Linked DNA regions of Mytilus edulis. The main gene of each other region encodes a partner of the protein of the gene in region 2 in a complex. Links are inferred from orthologs where the notes say so. Each region holds a gene or a part of one and is shown on either strand. Other genes may lie near its edges.

Region 1 (8,018 bases), on a different chromosome or scaffold from region 2:
GAGCACAAATTTGTAATAAGCTAAAACAGGGGAAGTAACTCCAAAATCAATTTCCACCACGTTTGGGTTAATTAAAAACTGTGCTTGTCGCTAACAAGTTGAGATGGAAGGCATTTCTGTAAAGGCATAGTTTTATTTTGATGACTTAAATTCAATTCTAAAGTCATGAAAGTCTTCATTTATACGCTCTTCCATTGTGACTTGGAGATCGAAAATGCTGACCCAAGCTAAACACACTCGCTTACACATTCATCAAAAGTATGACAAAAAGATACATTGTCCTAATTAAATTACCTAGTTATTAACACCTTTGAAGTCTTTATCATTGTAATTGATTGTAATGACATGATTAACCTGGGGGCAATCACACAGGTGTCATATATGTAATTAACTTGGAGATCAGTAATCGATGAAACAAAATTTTACCAAAACGGCACAAGATAATTTTGGAAAAAGACGTCAGGGCAGAAGGGCGCGGATGAAGGCACCCAGGGCGCGGCTGAGGGCACCCAGGGCGCGGCGCCCTTCTATTTTGGGCTAGCGAGACCACTGCATATACATGTACATATTTTAAAGTTTTAAGATCAATGCTAAAGAAAAATCCATGTCAATTTTACAACAATATTTAAAGTAAAAATAATGCCAATATCAACTCTGCAATTGACAACAATCAAGATTTTTAAGATACTGAAATTGACTATCCATAAAAAGTTTTTTCAATTTGAATACATTTTTCATAAATTTTCAGGTTGAATTATGCAAATAACAAACTTCCTCCATTTTAAATTGTAAAATTTGCTATATTTGAAAATATTATACCAAAAAGAGAGAATAGTGGGTAAGAAACTAGTACCAATTTTATTGAAATCAAACATTTAATTTGAAATTTCAAGGAACATTTAGAAAAATATTTGTAGCCTTGAGATTTTTTCACTAAGATATGGCATTTTTTGTGTAATTTATTACTCTTGTTTTATCAAACACTTGGACTATTTTGTGAAATAAACATGATATGCAATTGTGTAAAACATGTCTGTCTTGAAAAACTTACGTGGGAGAAATACTGTTTTATTTGGTCTTTTTGCATGCCCTGGTAATGCATGAATATTTTGACCTAAAAATGCAAACATAAATTTATACATGGATAAAAAATTTATATTTATCTCTTTTGTATGGGTATTTTTTCAACAAAATCCGCAGCATTTTTGTGCCTGTCCCAGGCAGGAGCCTCTGGCCTTTGTTAGTCTTGTATTATTTTTAATTTTAGTTTCTTGTGTACAATTTGGAGTTTAGTATGGCGTTCATTATCACTGTACTAGTATATATATTTGTTTAGGGGCCAGCTGAAGGACGCCTCCGGGCGCGGGAATTTCTCGCTGTATTGAAGACCTGTTGGTGACCTTCTGCTGTTGCCTTCTCTATGGTCGGGTTGTTGTCTCTTTGACACACTCTTTGCCCGATTTCCCCATTTCCATTCTCAATTTTAGATTTCATGTAGATATGACAAACCATGAAGGAGGACAGGATAATTTCTAAAAAGGGTAAACATTTCTGTGATGAAAGGGACATAGTCATGGATATTCTAAACATAATGAAAAATCCTTCAAATGGTGATGCTTGCATATCCTGATCAATTAATCTACAAAGTTTGAAATAAATCAAATAAAGAATAGTGAAGTTGGTATGGACAAACAGACAGCATGGTTCCTATATACATGTACCCCCAAACTTTGCAAGGGGTATAACAATTTTTTTTATACATAGATTAGACCATTGGTTTTCACGTTTGAATGGTTTTACATTAGTAATTTTTGGGGCGCTTTATACATTTGTAGCTTGCTGTTCAGTGTGAGACAAAGCTCTGTGTTGAAGGTCAGACTTTGACCTATAATGGTTTACTTTTATAAATTGTTACTTGGATGGAGAGTTGTCTCATTGGCACTCATGCCACATCTTCCTATATCTATATATGTATAACCATGTATCATACATAATATATAATACAAACCCATTTCAATCAAAGCCATTATAACATCTGTCATGATTCCTTCTGTTCTGCCAGCTAATTCTGCAAAGGCCTGTGTACTCCTGCCAAGCTCCATTAAAACTTTAAGTAAAAATAAAGGAGTTCCTAAAAATATCATGGTATTCTCTAATAGTATTTAAGTAATTTTATTTATGTTAGGTGTTAATAAAAATATTATCCAAATACAAATAATGTTCATAGGTAATACACCAATGGCCCAGGTAAGGTTCTTGACTGATCAGATTGACATTCACACTAAAAAGCACAGCACAAGATCTTGGATATACAACAAAGACTTTTAGTATTTAAAAGTATATATTTAACAGGGTAAAAAAAAAAGAAAAAAGTCATATTTAAAGATACGCCGGTTGAACTTTTGACATCCAACAACAATCATTTTTCCATTGTGGAGTCAAACATTTTCTATTGTGACGTCAAAATTTTACGGGAACCTTTGTGATGTCCAGTAATTACTGAGGGGTGGTAGGACTGGTCCTGATTCTGAAATTCCGGGCTTAAAAACATCAGATCCCGCAATCCCGGCTTAAAATCACTAAATCATGAGGTCCCGAAAATCGAAAAGAAGAATTCCCGGATCCCGAAATCCCGAGCTCAAAAACACCCAATCCCGGAGTCCCGATAAAGGTCCTATCCCCCCTCATTACTAATGTCTGACAAATTGTCATAATTTGACATAAGGTGTATTTACCAGTATCATGCTCCCTGCTGCTATTGTTCCTTCAAAGGCCTAAGGCTTTTGGAGTTGTTTCAGTTAGTTTCTATAAAGCATTGAAATGGCATACAGTTTTTACAACTTACAACTTTCCAGCATTTCAGTCAATGTTTCAATGACTGACTCTTCAGCTGTCTGGAACCCTACTTCTAAACACAGTGCACTAACTGCCACTTTTAATGCTTTCCGCGATGAAACAGCATGTTGGTCATTTTCGGATGCCATTTTTGCTGTGGTTAGTATGTAAATTACTCCATTATTTGATCGTTTTCAACAATAAATGGGCTTTTGTTGTCACTTTGACTTCCATGTTTGTTTCCTGAGGTAAAGTCTAGAGGTATTCAGGTCTCATTCCGAATGAAAACAGGTATTAACCGAAATTAGTTTGTTTAATGAATCGACTAGTCACGTACCAAATAAGAAAGTAGGTCCCTAAATGTTATCTAACCCAGCTATAAAAAAAAAACCCAAAAAAAACAGATACTGAAGGAACATACTCGTGATAAACTTTTAAAAAATTGTCACAAAAACAGACGAAAAAGTTAAAATCCTAATTAAAAAAAAAGGTATATTAATTATTATCAAACTCTCCGGCTAATAATGAATAAACAACACCAGCGGAATGAAAGTCATTAAATGTATCTAAAGAAAATTCGTAAATCTCATCAAGGATGATCTCATATATATAATAATCAAATGGAATAATAGTCACAACCTTACTCACCAAAAAAGAAACAAGTAAAAATGTGAACTACATTTAGAATAAGTGATCATTGGTTTTTAATCAGAAACTGGACGATATACAAAAATACCAAGACATGAAAGAAAATGTAAAATATGTCACATCTTAGTTGATGAATTCCACCTTTTCTTTAACTGTAAACTTAATTTAAATAATAGAAAAACCTTTAAAAATGTATTGAAAAATATGTAAATTGCAATACACTGCGGAGGAAATGAGACCAATAATTTCTGGGCCTTTTATAGCTGACTATGCGGTATGGGCTTTGTTTTTTTTATATTTAACATGTATATTATTATTGCTGAGTTTTTATTATGTTTGTTTTGTATCTGTATTGCTATTACCAAAATTGTTTTTGTTTGTTTGGGAATAAAGAATTTAAAGTCGGCATATATGTTCACCATAACAGAGAAAAATTTTCATACTATCATATAAAAATCACACTGCTCAGCCTCCATTCAGGTACTAAGAAATAAGATTTTTAAAAAAAGTAGCCTATGTGAATGTAATAAAATAATTTAAAAAAAAAAGTGATTTCTGGACGTCCAGGGTCACTTCATGATGGTGCTCATCACGGCTGCAAACACCTTCATATGCATTGCATGGGTGAGAACCAGCAATGACTAACAAACTAAAAAGCATAAACATATAAATTGGCTTTTTATAGCAGCTCAATGATCCGTATAAAATAATGTATAAAAAGCAGCTAGAGCAGAAAGCCGGAAATAAAAAGGAAGAAAATTAAGCTACGATGTAGAGCTGGATACTAGAGTAATGGACTTTTGATAATCATAAGAAGATGTGGTATGAGTTCAAAAGAGGCAACTCTCCATTCAAGTCATAATTTGTTAAAATTAAACACTTAAAGGTCAAAGAATGGCCTTCAACACAGAGACTTTGCTCATACCGAACAGCAAGCAATAAAGGACACCAAAATGACTATTGCAAAACAATTCAAACAGGAAAACCAATAGTCTAATCTGTATAAATAACGAGAAACGAGAAACACTTATGAACTACATTAACAAACGACCACCACTACAGGTTCCTGACTTATGACAGGTGCAAACAAATACAACAGGTTTAAACGTTTTAACTGGTGCCAACTTTCACCCTAATTAACCTGAAATAGTAGCAGAACATTACATTCAGATTCAATGTTTTATAAGAATCTCACCACTTAATTGTAATACATATAATCTCTTGTCTGGTATGTAAAATGTTGATATTAATTGATATGATAATATGATAGTTATATATATATAGGCTTCCCCTAGATAATACTTAAGCATATGACTTTACGTCCTTGACATTTATTCATGATCCATTTTTTTTTCTAATATATCATTTTTATTTGCATTTTTTTTATCCGATTTTGTACAAAAATACTTTTTGGTAAGAAAAATTCCTTTCAAACCCAACTTCTGCCAAACCAATCAATGCATAAGAACAATATGAATTTCATTAAAACGAATGTCCGAACTTAGAATGTGACCAAAACTACTGTGGCTGAACTGATTGGTGGCCGAAACGACATGTGGACGAACTAGAAGTGTGGCCGAAACATCTCGAAAGCGTCCGCCTAAAGTAACAAATATGTAGCCAACCAACAAACACTAAACATCTTGATAATGTCAGTTTTAGAGAATTTTTGCTTTATAATATATAGTCTGAGCGGTTTTTTTTACCAAATCATGAAATGTAAATATATATGTCAGTTATCTTCTTTATTATTAAGATAACTATAAATATTACAAAACAACATTTCAAAGTGTCACATGTAATATATATATAATAATATAATTGTAACCATATTTTTAAAAATTGTTTCTTATTTCTAACGCATTCGGTATTTAAAAGTTTAGAAACTAAAAAATATTCATTACACAAATCTTTTAAATCTAAACCATAAGATTGGAAAATAGTTTGCCTTATATCTTTATATTTATCACAAGATATCAAAAAATGTGCTTTAGTCTCTACTTTAGTGCAAAATTTGCAAAAACGCTGTTCTCTTGGAATTTGGGGTTTATTATATCTACCCCGTTCTATATTTAAACAATGAGCACTGATACGTAGTTGTATAATTTTACTAGTCTTTTCATATTTTTTGTAAGATTGGTTTAAAGATAGTAGGGAACAAAATTTGGAACAAAAATATTACTGAAAAGCACCAGTTTACTGTCCACAGCTCCAGATTTGATATTTTGTAGTTGTATGTCAGCTTGCTGCCTAAAGTATCTTATCACTATTTAAAATGTTGTTTTTTTTGTATCAAGTTTAGTTAAGTACTTTAAATATCATTTTAAGTTTTCATTAGATAATTCTTGATCTGCAGTAAATGCACTTTGTAATATTTTACCTCTATTTATTTTTAGTAATCTCATATACTTATTATACATTAAACATAATGAATCTGAAATCAACATTGGATTCCTGTTACATCAGAATGTCATTTGATTATATTGAAGCAAACAACCTATTATTATTTTAATACATAGATCTTATTAAATGAAACCTCCTTTTAATGTACATTTTATGCATATTAAAAAGCAAATTCAAATGAAACATAATTTTAAATATAAATAAAACTAAGTCACATACTTAAGTGAATATACTTGTATGGTAGAATAGTTTGCAATAAAAAGGTCCATGAAAATATGCCTTGCATGACATTTCTATTGTTTATTGTTTATTTATATGTGCTGTACATATGTTGGAAATTTTGTTTTATCATTTAAAAAAGCTCCTAATTAAAGGAGGCTTATACCAGGAAGAAGAAGATAGAAAATACATATTTTTTTCAAATTTAGTTGAAGTTCCATAAATACATGTCGCTCTTCTGCCCTGCCACAGACAGGACAGAACATTACAGAAAAAACTGAGAATTCGAAAACGTCCGGGATCGTCCGACATAAATTGTATATTACTCAGGACTGTGGGAAAGGTTTTAACACTTCTTTTTGATGGTGTTGCGGCGGTGACATTTTTGCCAGAGGTTATATTGCTGAAAACACGCTTGCCATCGAAATTTATACATTTAAGACAGCTGAATATGGAAAAGGTTACCTCTCAGGTTTGCAATTTAAATGAAACAATAAATATAAAGTTTCAAACTGGGACACGGAGCACCTCTCACCACTGTAATTGCGGGTATATCCTATAACCTTAGTTCTATTGACATTGCATAATGCAAACAATGTTTTACTAGCACATTAGAAATATCACACAATGATAACTGTTCATTGATTTGTCTCTCATTGATTGTTTAAAAGTAATTGATAGAAACATTGATTATTATTTGGAAATGTAACTTTGTTTGAGCTGCAATGGCCAATGTGCCTCATGTAAGACACAGGGCACACCCTCCTAAATTGGAGGATGGAGGATAGATATGCAAATGTACTAATAAAATAACTGATTCTTATTACCAAGGATCTTACTATACAAATCCTTGTTACAATAACCTAATTTATTTTTTACATTTTCCCACTCTTTACATTAAGTTTTTATAGGGTGTATATAGCCATTCAAATGCCTTGATCGTTCGAAATAAAAGGGGGGAACCACCCAGAACCCAACCCCATTTTTTTTTTAAATCCCCCTGAATCCATCACTACCAAATCATCATCATCCATGTCTCCAATGGCTGTTTCAAATTACCCATACTATGAAATTAGGAGGGAATTTGGCAGTGGAGATAGTTTTTTTACTTGTCAATCTGCAAGTAATTTTCTTTTCAAGATGCTTACAGAAATATTTGATATCAGATTGAGATTGTAATTAATCATTAATGAACAGTCTCTATAATGAGAGGTACATCTCTATTGACTCTAATGACTTTTAGGTCACCATGTCAAAGGTCAAGGTTATTGTTTAAAAATAGAAAAAAAAAATCCAGAATAAAAGGGGTACCACCATTTCCCCAAGAAATACAAGTACAACGTAATATCCCCAAAACAAACTGATATATCCCAATAACAAGATTTTCATGGTGTTATACTGTGTTAAATTAGTGTAACAGCATACAATTATAAGGATTAAGGCGTTCATAATTAATAAAAGTATGCACAATCTTCAGAAAAACGATTTGTATATCTTGTATGCAAACTCCTTGTTGAAAACAATATGGCAGAAGTTATAGTTTTTATACAAGGCATAGTAATAAAAGTGCAATTATGTACACTTCAAGAATTCGATGTGTATCATACACATCGAATTCTTGAAGTGTACATAATTGCACTTTTATTGAGAAAAACGAGAAATATCTTTAATTAATATTCTTTGATATTGTTAAAAGTAGTAAACAGTAACACCATTAAAAGTAGCATAACACCATAACAAATCTTTTTATCGGGATATATCAGTTTGTTTTGGGGATATTATAAAAGTTCTTGTATTTCTCGGGAAATCGTGGTACCGGAATAAAAGTTTCAATTTGAGGTCAAGGTTGTAGTTTTTCTTTCTTTATAAATAATGCAATCCTCCCATGGGAGTATTGTACTGTAGTTACCAAA
Region 2 (6,934 bases):
GTGGTTTAACATCATCATCTGTGACCCCAGCCTCTTTCTTTAACAACTCTTCTGTACACTACAACAATAAAAGTGAACAACTTTGCACAACTCAGTTCAACATCTCCTTATTTTTATATAGGGTTTTTACCACTTACAATAGTAAATGTTTGTAATGTTTTACTAGTCTTGGAAATTGAACTATTTGATAACGATGCAGACTGGTAGACCAGTAAAAACCTAATATTGACCTTTGGACTGAAGGTTCACATGACCTACAGTATTAGCTACGGTCCCCAAATAGTCAAAAAATAGCATAAGGACCTAAGAGCTATGGTTCCGCAACTAGTACAATATATGCCCTGATCAAAAAATTTTGAAATTTTCAGAAATCTTTCAGAAACCTTTCTTCAAAGCAAACTTCCAACATTCAGGATAATTAATGAACACATGCTAAAATAAGTGATTTATTAAATGCATGTCATTTTGTTTCTGTGTAATGTATTATAATGTCAATTTTAAAAGCTTACCAGAGCTTGTGTTTATTTGTTTGCAATGTATGGACAATGAATAAAATTTTGATTTACATGGAATGTTTACACAAATGTTTTGAACCAGGAATTAATACTCTACAAGGCAGCACTCGCACCCGCAAAGTGGAAAGGGATTAATATAAGTTACCATAACTTGTTTCCCAATCCTATAAATAAATATGTTTAAACTAATATTATTCTAATTTTAACTTATTAATTCATGTAAACAATAAACTGGTCTAATATAAACAAAACAAAGATATTAAGATTGTCATAGCGACATCACACCATATCTTCAGGGATGATTCCAGGTGTTTTCAAATGGGTCCCTTGAACATCAAATTGGGAATTTTTATTCTAATTGGGAATTTTTTAAGCATAAAATCTAAGACGAAATAACATTATTTTTCTGAAAAACGGAAAATGTATATTATTAAGTTTAACCTGTCATGTCTGTACACTGATGTTCATGTAAGTTGTAACATTTTGAATAATTCTGGATGGGCTACTGTTATTACATGAATATCATTGAACATGATGCACTAGTCTATCATCTTAGCTATAGTTACTTAGGCCTATTATAAAAACATATATTTCAGCTAACATTAACCATTGAAAAAAATCATTCATCAGGTATTTTTTCAACAGCAGGTCATCTCTATAAATTTACCTGAATTCAAATGGATTTCAAATTGAACTGGTCAATTGTCGAATTCAGAAAAGCAAAAATTTTACAAAGGTTCATATACTTGATTGATAAGATATCTAAAGCATTGAACCAGTGTTCTTTAAAATTATTTGGATCATCTTCAAAACTTTTGAAATAGTTCAATAATGATGACATCGTATTTCATGAATGGTCTATCATCAACATTATTTTCAAAAAACGCTCAAACTTTTGTCTTTTGAGGAAATAATTTCTTTTACAAAACAAGTGTTCATCATATTATATAACTGGCTCTGCTGGGCAATCTGCTTTTACGAGATCGGCGTCCATTAAACCTTATCCATCAATGTTATATTTGAATTTGCTCTCTGCCGAGGTCTGCTTTGACACCCATTTTTATCAACCTGCTGGCCGATCTGCTTTTACAAGATCCAATACTACCATAACATATCAATTAATTGTATTCGGCTGTTTAAATTGTTTCCCACATGTTGACATAATTGAATCGTTGTTACTAAGATGCGACCGTAAACAGCATTCTTATCTGGATTTTAAAACGTTTTGACAACAAACTATGAAAAATTATAGTTGCCTTAATCGGTGACAGAAACTTTTCCTGAAATATCGATTTTATTTTATTTTCCTGAATTGGGAATTCATTTTCATGTACATTTTTTGGGGGCCGCTGGCCAATTTAAGGGCCGCTCAGCGGCCCTGAACTATATAGTGGAATCATCCCTGATCTTACAATTGTGTATTACATGTATGTATGTGGACTTGACCTTCTTTTCGAGCTAAGTTTTGTTTACATTTGAAAACATGCTATTTATGAACTGAGGGAATAAGGAAAAGTAGGCTAAAATCAGAAAATATTATTTTTACTGTAAACAGGCTATTATTTGAACTTGGAATTATTTTTAATTATGGAATTTGCATAATTTCTTGTGTTTAAATTTTTTTATAAATTCCATGTTTATTTGGTATTATGATCTTTTGAGCGGTTAATAACACCAAGGATTTGTATAGTACTATACAAATCCTTGATAACACTTTCCATACAATGGTGTTGTGCGCAGCACAGTACATTCTATTAAAAATATACTATTTTCTTTGTTAAATAGAAAGTGTTGTGCGCAGCACAGAACATTTCAGTACAGACTAAACATGGAATTTATTAAAAATTTCAATAACACGAAATCAAGCAAATTCCATAATTAAAAATAATTCCAAGTTCAAATAATATTAATAGCCTGTTTGTTGTAAAATGTCTGAAAACTTGAAATGTTGAATTTAATGCTTGCTTGAAGCAAGTTTTATTCTGTCCTTGAAATACCAACAAATATAGAAAACATGAGCGATTTCGCGTACTACTTTTATTTTAACCATGCACATTGCTATCGAGAAATGATTACTACGAGAACAGTTGACTACACAATACTTTAGGCCTATGGCTCATCTTTTTTGTTGTGGTTTGTTTAAAATAAAAGTTTTAGTTCAGTTAGGATAAAAGGTAATGTACTGTTAGTTTAGACCTGTATTGACTATTTAGGCTATTGGTTTGGGAAACTGACTTCAGAGTATTTTCAAGTTACCACTAACAGGGGCGAAATAGCGGGCATAATTAATTATATACGAAGTTGATCAAGATATATAGATTGGTCGACCTTTAAGTTGTTTTTCTTTAGAAATTGTAAAACAGCTAATAGTGTCTGTTTGTCTGAAACATCTGATTTAGGAGAAGACTGTGACTGTAAACTATTCATTTTAAAAGTGGTTTTCGCTTAATCTGTTAACCGTCCGCATCTTCACACACCATAGGGAAGATAGGTATAGGATTGGAAGGTACCAGTCAATAGTCTTTAAATTTTCTATAAAAATAAAATGAACAAATAAATAAACTAAAAGTAGATGCATATTATATTTCAGAAAAATATTTATTGTTTCGAATTTGCATGTGATTGATATCATTTATATGTTTATTTTATAGATTATTCCTAATGCTAAATAACCCATTTTGAACATAGGCTATGTCCTTTCTTCCGCTTTCGTGTTGCTGGTAGGTCGTATGAAATTTTCGAAAAACAAATCCATTTGAATCACTCTAACTTTTTGTCATCTTCTGTTAATTTGTTATTCTACAGTTGTATTTTCATCTCTTTCAGATAATATAGCAAGATGAGAGCAAAGGTAAGCATGTAACTTAATATTTTTTATCGAATTAGTCTTGCACATAAACATGTCGGATAACACGCATTTACGTCCGACCATTGATGAATGTTGTTTGTTGCGGGGAGAAAGTTCATTTGTGACACTTAGTGAATTGCAACATACTGCATATCAGAGTTCTAATGATATGTGGCAAAACTGTTCGTGATGTATAAATTTTAATTTGAGGTCTTTGAACGTAAAACTTGGACCATGTGGACTGCTGGTGCAGCATGCGAAGCCGAAGTCCGTGGGTGTCTGTCAACACATCTCGTGTCTTGTAGTAACCAATTGTTCAACAATATCTATTATATTTATTATTCATATTTACAATGCGTGTGCTTAAATTGAATACTAAGATAGCCTAGCAATTCCAGAAATTGACCCCCCTTTTCTGCCAGGTAATGGTCATAATCAACGAACCATCGTTTAGTGCGCATTTATGACTACCCCCTCCCCCAAAACTTTTCAAAGAAAGCCATATAATTTTCAAAGTTGAATTGTTTCACGTGTTTCAAAAGTAACTGGATTTCCACCTTATTGCTGAACCAATTTTGAGTGGCAAGTACCAAAAAACTTCCCAAACCCAGCATCTTTCATATTGGCCTCGGAACCTTACATGTAGCCAAAGGTCTGAATGTTATATATTTACTATGAGAGCTACAGATTTTTCCCCTTCGAAACGTTTGGAATTTCACTTATTTTCCAAAAATTTGTTAATAATCCATGCCAATGAGAAAACTCTCCACAAAAGACCAAAATGACAGGTATCGGGACCGTTCGCCCTAATAACATGTTGGCCCTAGGTTCGTTCGCCCAGAGTCCGTTCGCCCTACTATAAAAATATTAATAAAATATTCAGGGCTAAAATTTAGTATAGTTTAGTTTAAGTTGAATAAACTTATTCAGATATTTCTATGGTATATATATATCATGTATATTCTTGAAATTTATGGAAACATTGAAATATTTAAAAGTTTATGGTTTGTTTATGATCTTTAATTGTTCAATGACAAAATAATTCGGATAACTGATTATTGTGAAACTTGTCTTTTGATGGATTAATAATAAAAACAAACGTTTTATTTTAATAAAATATTCAGCTTGAAATTAATAAAACCAATGATGTACGAACTGTAAATTATGAAACGGATTTACAAGTTCATTATGACAATAATTTATACTGCATACTTTCGTGATTGACTGATTACAATGATTTTGTTAACAAATATCAATAAAGATAAATACATTGTATTCCAGTATTCTACTCTGCAAATCAAAGGGAAAATGATAAATTGATTGCGGCAATATTAATATTCTGTCAATTTTTCAACAAACTTTAACATATTTTGTTCAAATACTTAAAATAATGCGACAAGACAACAATTAGAAAAAAATAATAATCAGGGCGAACAGGTACTAGGGCGAACATGAATCAGGGCAAACGGACCCGGATTCAAAATGACATAGCAATTATTAACTATGGGTCGCCCAATGGCCTTCAACGATATAGTTTGTTTCGTTTCATATTTTTTCTAGGATATGATGTACCTATGTATGTTTGAGTATTTATTTCCTTAACATTATCCTATTTACATTTGTAAACCTCCGTCTAATTTGTTCAGCCATATTGAATCTCGTTATGAGTGGTAAAATTTTATATCAAGTTTACATTGGACTTCTCTTTTTCAGTGGCGTAAGAAGCGTATGAGGAGGTTGAAGCGTAAAAGGAGGAAGATGAGGGCAAGGTAATTATATTAGCTTGTATAAGTAGTGATTTAATTTGGTCCTGCTGAAAAAGGTTATAAATTAGAACTTGAGAAGCTGTCAATATTTCAGTTTGGAGCCTATTTCTATAATTTTGATATAATTTGTCTTAAAAGTAGTAGTACAAACTAAATAAATTATATTGAGAAAGTGCAGGTGGTATTTTTTTTCTCCTCTCTCCTATATTGTCTAAAGAAATGCACTGTGAACTATCTGGACCATTTCCAAAAGATCAATACACCTTTTCGCTAATTAGTCTTTTCCAGGGGGAATTGTTACCAAGACAAATTGCTGATGAGATGGTTGAACAAAACTAAAGTCATCATCAATGAGCTGAGAAAAGAGTGGCCATTTGAAATTTTGCTAGTTAAAAGAACGAATTTTAAGCCCAACCTAGGACCATTAACTTGTTCGGTTTGTGAATCTGTCTGTCCGTCCTGCTCAATTTTTTGGTCAAGGTAGTTTTTTCTGAGGTTACACATCTACCATATGACATGATTAATATATGATTTTAATGTCAAATTAGTTTTGACCTTAATTTCACTGTCATCTGATCAGTAACAGAAAATGATAGTGCGAGTTTGGCATTATTGTTACATGGATGAAATTTTGTCAATAGATGAATTAAGTCCATAAAAATGTTTTGTTAGGGTAAACAACGGTTAAATGATGCCTCTGAATGAAAAGTTTGAGGCACGATATTTTGTGTGAACAAAGCCAACACACTTCAGATGGGAATGTAGTGAAAAGGTGTATATCAATGGAACGTGGATAACATAACTTGTCAAACAAGTGAACAGATTTTCAACATTCACTTTCGTTATAAACCTACTTGGTTCAGTAGTGAAGTAGCTGCAAATCCAGCCAATTTTGTGTCATTTCCTTCATTTGTTATATATTCATTTGTCCTGTGAAGAACGAGAACAAAATGATACAACAATTCGTCATAACAGACCAGATGACAGAATTTAATAACAATGGTCACCATCAGACTTTCAACAATGAGCTAAGCCCATATCACAGTCGACTATAAAAGGTCCCGAAATAACTAATGTAAATGAGATAAAACTGACGGCCCAATTTATGTAAAAAATAATGAATGAAAATGAAATATGTAACCGCAACAAACGAGGACCACTAAATAATAGGCTCCTGACTTTGCATAGGCACTTGCAGAATAAGGCAGGTTTAAACATGCTCCCAATCATGTGACGAGTGGTTCATCACTGCAGTCTGCACGGTTAGCCACTAATCCGATGCCCCAGACTAGTAAAGTTTCTTTCAGACTAGTAAGTTTTTGCAAAACTTTGTTTGGACCAATAAGAAAAATGTCGGAATATTGGTCTTCGGACTAGTAGTTGAAAAAGTTTTTGGTGCAGACTGCATCAGAATAGTACAATACATTCCTGAAAAATCTCAAAACATCATTTTGCCTGTTCCAACCCCCAAGTTTCTTGATTTGTAGTCTTAGACGTTTAAAGTAATTGAAATGAAGACTGAACGTGATTGAAAATATGAAACACTATTATACTCTACACAATTGCATTCTGTTTTGTCATTGAACGCAAGATATCCATAAGTTTTAACGTTATTAGGGTTAATGGTTTAATCAACTACATGTACATTTGTTTACTTTCAGGTCTAAGTAGACGTTGCCATCGTTTATTTTTAAGACTCCAATTGATGTGTTCAGCTATAGACCAAGGTATTGCAACCATGTGTTCAGTTGAGAACTCCTATTGATGATGATGATGATGAAAACGATGATGATGAATTAGCGTGG
Region 3 (7,027 bases), on a different chromosome or scaffold from region 2:
TATAGCGAAATCTTATATTAGAAAAAAAAATGATTTATACCTGAGAGCCTCCTTAACAATGGTTAAAGACATTATGTTGCTCACATAAACATGATAGACTTGAGCAGTGTAAAAAAAAAAAAAAAGAAAGAAAGAAAGAAAAATCCCTACCTACATGTACCTTCCCTTACTTTTTTTAAGATATATACATGTACTGGTAACTGGACCAAACATATTATTTTATTTGGTCTTATATCTTAAAACGAATCATGTGTGACTTATGGCATTATTAGTAAAAAAATGTATTTTGCAAAATTGGCATATCCCTGTTTGATTTTAGACAATAGTGTTTTTTTACTGAGTTTACTAATACTATTAAAGTAAATTTAATAATCAACTCCCTATACATCAGTTCAACAAAATTTTACTTTTCTGGTTTCTTGATCAACACCATGATCATTAGCAGGAAGCTAAGTCAGTAAGTGGTCATCAAAGCTTGTTATGGTATATGTAACCGAATAAGATGCTCCAAATTCCAATATACATTGTATAAAACTGAGAATGGAAATGGGGAATGTGCCAAAGAGACAACAACCCGACCATAGAAAAAAACAAAAAAAACAACAGCAGTTGTACATGTACATGTATATCTTAAAATCTATTTTGGATAAAATTAAAAAATGCATTATACCTCAACTGTTTAGATATGTATTTTAGTAGTGCTTTGGCACTCACACCACATCTTCCTATATCTTTGCTAGTATTTCAATATGCCTGTCAGGCTGTGTAACATTGTTATATATCTTGTCTGCATGTTTGTGTTTTAATGATTTTATATTCGGTAAAAAACTCTTTCAAAAATACATGTATTGCTATATGTGAACCGAATCAAAATAAAACTTTCGTATTCGTATTGGTGTATCCCATTGTACATGTACGTCAAATAGTGGATTATACTTAAATTGAGGTATAAGCCACTAATTTATCACTCATACATGTCATATAAATTAATAGTTATTCTTGACCTGTACAAGTTCAGATACATTGTAATCATGCAGTATGATGTGGATACCTTTCCATCATGTTCATATTGACTATTTTTAAAGGGGTCAAAGCAGAAGATTAAAATAGCCTTCCGAGACGTCATAATTATTTGGACAAAAATAATTAGAACATTATGTACATGTATACATAAAATGTATAAACCTGGGAGTTTACAATTACAGATTTAATCACTAATCAGATTGCTTTTAGTTTTTCAATAAATCAATCCTTGAAAAATAAAATTATGTTGAAAAATAGTCCGAGATTACTCTGACGTCCAACGGCTGTTTTGCCAGACAAGCTGGGGCCGTGGGACGTCAGAGCTCGTCCCATATCAAAAAGTGGATATTTGCCCACCCAAAATAGATGCGCTGCTTCGTCGCTTCTGATGCCGACTGATGGCCTTGGAATTATATAAATCGGGCGTCAATCTCTTCATTTATGTAAGTTTCACCTACCTGCGAACCTTTATTTTTCCATATTTTAACAGTTTTCACAGTGACCCATCGATTTCGGCATTTTGACTTTTACTTTCAAATGGGTGCAATCAACAGTTTTTTTTTCTATGACGTCACATTTTGAGGGACCATGCATAAGTGACCCTTAGTGGTGGACTGATTAATAAAGATACTTGTATAAAACTAGATATCACTGGAATCAGAATGTTCACTAGTTTATAATGAAATAAAAATAATGTGTACTTTTAATATATAAAAAATATTCCATCCAATGAACATGGGGGAAAAAAGGTCTAATTTGAACAACAAAAACTTGAAACCAGGTCATGTGCACACCCATGAAGACATGATCCATGCACATTTTACATAATCAAAACTGTATGAAATTTGTAGGTTTTTACCTGGCCTTTCAAAAAAATCTTGTTTCAGGGTACGGTTTCCTGCTCCAAAAAGAGCTACAGTGGCTGCAAATAAGTTTTCAATTTTCACTGCCAAAAAAACAGGTTGTTTACAGTGTTGTCTCCCCTCAAAACATGTAAAGTTAATATAATTTCAAAAATTATTTCAATCATTCAACCTGTTTTAATTCAAAGCTAATTAACTAATTTTTACAATCAAATACAAAAAACATGATACTTTTTCACCAATTGAGTAAATAAACAGGGGTTTCCCTCCATGGTTATTTTTAGTCGGGGAATAACCCCTAGTTTTTTATACGAAACTGTTTATAGCACCCAATGGCAAGAGAGTTTGTGGTCTTGAGACTCAAAATATGCAAATATTTATATTTTTTCACCTCCTTTACAGGAGATCGGTATGAAGCATTTACATGTTTATGTAGTTCTGACCACGTTACAATCTGAAGCTCTCGGACATTTAGATAACTTGCATTGTAAATGAACGAGGTGTTACAGTATGGTCATTTGCATAAATCATCACTGTTTTCTCGTGGTCACGTGATTATCTTCGAAAATGAAAGGCAAAATGCTGAAATCGATGGGTCACTGTGAAAACTGTTAAAATATGGAAAAATCAAGGTTGGCAGGTAGGTGAAACTTACATAAATGAAGAGATAAATGAAAAATGAACAGATTGACGCCCGATTTATATAATTCCAAGGCTGTCAGTCGGCATCAGAAGCGACGAAGCAGCGCATCTTTTTTGGGTGGGCAAATATCCACTTTTTGATATGGGACGAGCTCTGACATCCCACGGCCCCTGCTTGTCTGGCAAAACAGCCGTTGGACATCAGAGTAATCTCGGACTAGTTGAAAAAATAATCAACCCGGTTTTTAAATTATGCCTATCAAGTTTAAGACTGCAATTAAATTTCTGTTCAAAAAGTGCCAAAAGGGGAGGTAATTACTCTACTCTAGTGTTTATGCAAGCAAATGAGTTATGGCTATGAAGGAAAAACTGTACCTGCTGTCCACATGCCTGTCCTTGAAAGCATTCAACAAAGTGTCAAAATCAATGCAACATTTAAATTATTTGCACGAAACACAGCCCCAGAAGGAAATAATTCAAAACAGGTAGCTGAATCTTTTTCGGCTCGAAACAACCGGAAGCAGAGTTATTAAACTAATATATAAACAAGTTCGGAATGAGGAATTTGTTCCGGATTCCTGAATATTTTTTTTTTTTTTTTGCTTTTTAAATGTTTTAAAACTATTATGTGAGAGCAATATTAGTAGGAAATAAAAGGTTTAAATAGTTAAGATTAACAACACAGTCACATAAAATCGCCAGATGAACGAAACTATGGTTATTAACTTTAAACATTTTGAAATCATGTATTATAACATTATAAGCAACACGACGGGTGCCGAGTTTCACTTGTTGTCGAGTATCGAGTTGCGAGTTAGGAAAATCGAGTTGCGAGTTAAGAAAATCGAGTTGCAAGTTAAGAAAGTCGAGTTGCGAGTTACAAAAGTCGAGTTGCGAGTTAAGAAAGTCGAGTTGCGAGTTACGAAAGTCGAGTTGCGAGTTACAAAATTCGAGTTGCGAGTTACAAAAGTCGAGTTGCGAGTTACAAAAGTCGAGTTGCGAGTAACGAAAGTCGAGTTGCGAGTTACAAAAGTCGAGTTGCGAGTTAAGAAAGTCGAGTTGCGAGTTACGAAAGTCGAGTTGCGAGTTACAAAATTCGAGTTGCGAGTTACAAAAGTCGAGTTGCGAGTTACAAAAGTCGAATTGCGAGTTACGAAAGTCGAGTTGCGAGTTACAAAAGTTGAGTTGCGAGTTAAGAAAATCGAGTTGCGAGTTAAGAAAGTCGAGTTGCGAGTTACAAAAGTCGAATTGCGTAAAAATGTGGAAACTAAAATATTTCAATTTTTTGGGGTAACTGATAACATTTCGGAATGATGATTTCTTATAGAATTGTATATAGTGTTGTTGATTATTTTTGTGGTTTGGACTCTATCTGAGTCTCTTGTAAAAATAAAATGGACTAGATAATCACTACGTTTAGTATTTTCTGAAGAAGCAGATAGCCTTTTGAAATACAGCAGATGGCTTGCATTTTAATTATTTTTAAATTTCATACATAGCACCGTCGTATTAAACGTAAAGGGACATAGCAACTAAACTATATTTCATATATGTAAAACACCCCTTCTGCAGATTTCGTATAAAGTGGGCTTTTGGGGGCAGCTGCGGAGCCGGGCAATATTCGTTAGGGACCGCAAAATTTATTGTTTGTCAGTGACACTCAAAATTGAGGATGTTAAAATTATATATGTCTTATGCATTGGCTAGAAATAAAGGGGATATGATGGGCGTGAATAAAACCAGTTTAAACACGCCGCTTTTTTGTGTCTGACCAATTTCAGGAACCTTTAGCCTTTGTTGCTCTTGTATACATTTTAATTTTGGTTCATCTTTATATTTAGCAGCATAGAATGGCGTCTACATTCTTTATTTATCTATATTGTGTTTCGGGCCTGCTCAGGGCTCCCTCTAGATGTGTGATTTTTCGCTGTGTTAATTTGTAGACCTAATGACCTTTGGTTGAATTGTATATTTTGATTTGGTTGCTGTCTTTTTGACTCATTCCCCATTTTTATTCTTTATTTTATAAATGTAGCTGTCAAAGATACTATTGTAAAAACTATATTTGCGCCATTTACAGGTAAGATTTAATTGGAAAGTATAAAATGATTATTACTACATCATGATTTCATACGTATTTTTTTAAAGTCAGTGGCAGATCCAGAAATTTTCATAAGTGGGGGCCCACTGACTGACCTAAGAGGGGGCCCGCTCCAGTGACGCTTCAGTGATTCCCTATATAAGAAAACACTTTTTTTCCCCAAAAAGGGGGCCCCTGGCCCCGCCCCCTCCTAAATCCGCCTCTGAAAGTATTGGGTAACTTATTAAACTGAGTCACTTAGGTTTAAACTTGAGTTATATAGACGTGTTCACATGTTTGATATTGTCAATTATAAGTTATTTTAAACTTAATTAAATTAAACATCAACCCAACAATGTTAGATCTGTAAATTTGCTTTCGCAAATTTTTGGTTCTTCCCTCGCCGGGATTCGAACCCATGCTACTGTGATATCGTGACACCAAATCGCCTGCACTATATATATATATATGTTATAGAGTAAAATTACTTGGATTGTAAGATGATGAAGTTCGCAATTTGAATATTGCTTATAGTGATTTTTTGTATAGCTCTCCCTTTCCATTCTTAAAAAGTCAATATACATTTTAAACCTAGATACTTATAATTGTAAACACATTCTATTATATCTTTTTCGCAATACAAATATTCTTTTAAAATTTTTCCAGGTTTGTTAAACATATTAACTTTGGTTTTAGATAGAGTGACCTCTAAACACTCGTGTTTGAAAGACTTGCCTTGGAACTAGACAAAAAATAACAAGATGAGGCACTCAATTTTGCGGTCATTTATATCAACAGCATCTAGGGTTTCATTTAATGCATCCGGTTAAATTCTTTTATAAAAATCTTAAAAAGGTTGGGATTCAAAATATCCCCTTCGTTTACTTCAATTTGGGAATACAAATTAGAAGTAAGCACATTATCTATTTTCGCACATAATTCACTTTTATTATACATATCTGTCACGATTGCATGGAAATTACTACCTATGTTTGGCGGCAAAAACACACGTTTTTCAAAACGATGGATGTAATAATGAAAACGGAAAATATCGATCTTCAATCGGATTTAAAAAGTCTATATATATATATATATCGATGTACATGTAGTTTTAAAAAGATTAATCTTATTTGAATCGATCTTTTTTCAAGGTTTAAATGTTTAGATCGATCGCTTTTGTCAGGTGAATGTTAATATATATTCAGATATGAAAATAAATCTGCGCATGTTCGGCGTGTTTAAAAATGATGGATGGAATACGAAAAGTAAACATAGATTCGGCTATTTTTTTATTATCTTCTAAATCAATAAGTTCTATTTGTTTGCTGCAAATCCTCATCTTCAAACGCATTGGCCGTGATATAGCCTTTTTGTGCTAATGCGGCGTAAAGCAACCAACAATCAATCGCATTGGCCGTTCGTTATTTAGCGATAGATATATAGTTTACACACATATCTTTGTTTAATGACTTGTGATGTACGATCCAAAATAATGATTAATAAGTCCATACGAAATTCCAATGAGCAAACTATTTTCTCAATGATTTTGCAATGTGTTATAGTTTGCGCGAGATGCAGAATTTCCTTTACTATTCTATTTTTAGGATTATTTGTTTACGAAAGGTAATTTATGGTCAGATCGGTTCTTTTTTTTTGTTGTAGTGTAAACGCATTGAATTAAATAAGATCGATCTTGTCCATTTTAAGGATACATTATTTTTTTTAAATGCTTCCAGAACTTAACTTATATTAGACTCTAATAAATAAGTATCACATAAACTGTTTCAAATCCCACAATCACGGGAATAACTAAGTTCAGGTGCATGCATGTTTTGTTTATCAAATGTGAATCAAACCTGAAAATTCGGTGTAAACAATGTTTTTTTAACTCGCAACTCGACTTTCTTAACTCGCAACTCGACTTTTGTAACTCGCATCTCGACTTTTGTAACTCGCAACTCGACTTTCTTAACTCGCAACTCGACTTTCTTAACTCGCAACTCGACTTTTGTAACTCGCAACTCGACTTTCCTAACTCGCAACTCGACTTTTGTAACTCGCAACTCGACTTTTGTAACTCGCAACTCGACTTTCGTAACTCTCAACTCGACTTTCCTAACTCGCAACTCGACTTTCGTAACTCGCAACTCGACTTTTGTAACTCGCAACTCGACTTTTGTAACTCGCAACTCGACTTTTGTAACTCGCAACTCGACTTTCGTAACTCGCAACTCGACTTTCGTAACTCGCAACTCGACTTTCGTAACTCGCAACTCGACTTTTGTAACTCGAAACTCGACTTGCTTAACTCGCAACTCGACTTTCTTAACTCGCAACTTGCAACTCGACGATAAGAAACCCTCACGGGTGCCACATGTGGAGCAGGATCTGCTTACCCTTCCGAAGCACCTGAGATCAC

The links.
Region 1: transcription initiation factor TFIID subunit 5-like (region 2) and transcription initiation factor TFIID subunit 8-like share a complex: the UniProt entries of both Homo sapiens proteins name them as parts of the TFIID basal transcription factor complex. The link is inferred for Mytilus edulis from reciprocal best matches to the Homo sapiens genes TAF5 and TAF8.
Region 3: transcription initiation factor TFIID subunit 5-like (region 2) and transcription initiation factor TFIID subunit 6-like share a complex: the UniProt entries of both Homo sapiens proteins name them as parts of the TFIID basal transcription factor complex. The link is inferred for Mytilus edulis from reciprocal best matches to the Homo sapiens genes TAF5 and TAF6.

What each region holds. Positions count from the first base shown.
Region 1 is NC_092350.1:20,035,720-20,043,737, forward strand, and holds the start of transcription initiation factor TFIID subunit 8-like, read right to left. Parts: upstream 3,100-8,018; 5' UTR 2,985-3,099; coding exon 2,846-2,984; intron 2,108-2,845; coding exon 2,009-2,107; intron 1,115-2,008; coding exon 1,052-1,114; intron 1-1,051. UniProt on the Homo sapiens protein: The TFIID basal transcription factor complex plays a major role in the initiation of RNA polymerase II (Pol II)-dependent transcription.
Region 2 is NC_092357.1:14,766,159-14,773,092, forward strand, and holds the start of transcription initiation factor TFIID subunit 5-like, read right to left. Parts: upstream 3,022-6,934; 5' UTR 2,943-3,021; coding exon 2,844-2,942; intron 59-2,843; coding exon 1-58. UniProt on the Homo sapiens protein: The TFIID basal transcription factor complex plays a major role in the initiation of RNA polymerase II (Pol II)-dependent transcription.
Region 3 is NC_092352.1:41,339,486-41,346,512, reverse strand, and holds the start of transcription initiation factor TFIID subunit 6-like, read right to left. Parts: upstream 3,065-7,027; 5' UTR 2,904-3,064; intron 1-2,903. UniProt on the Homo sapiens protein: The TFIID basal transcription factor complex plays a major role in the initiation of RNA polymerase II (Pol II)-dependent transcription.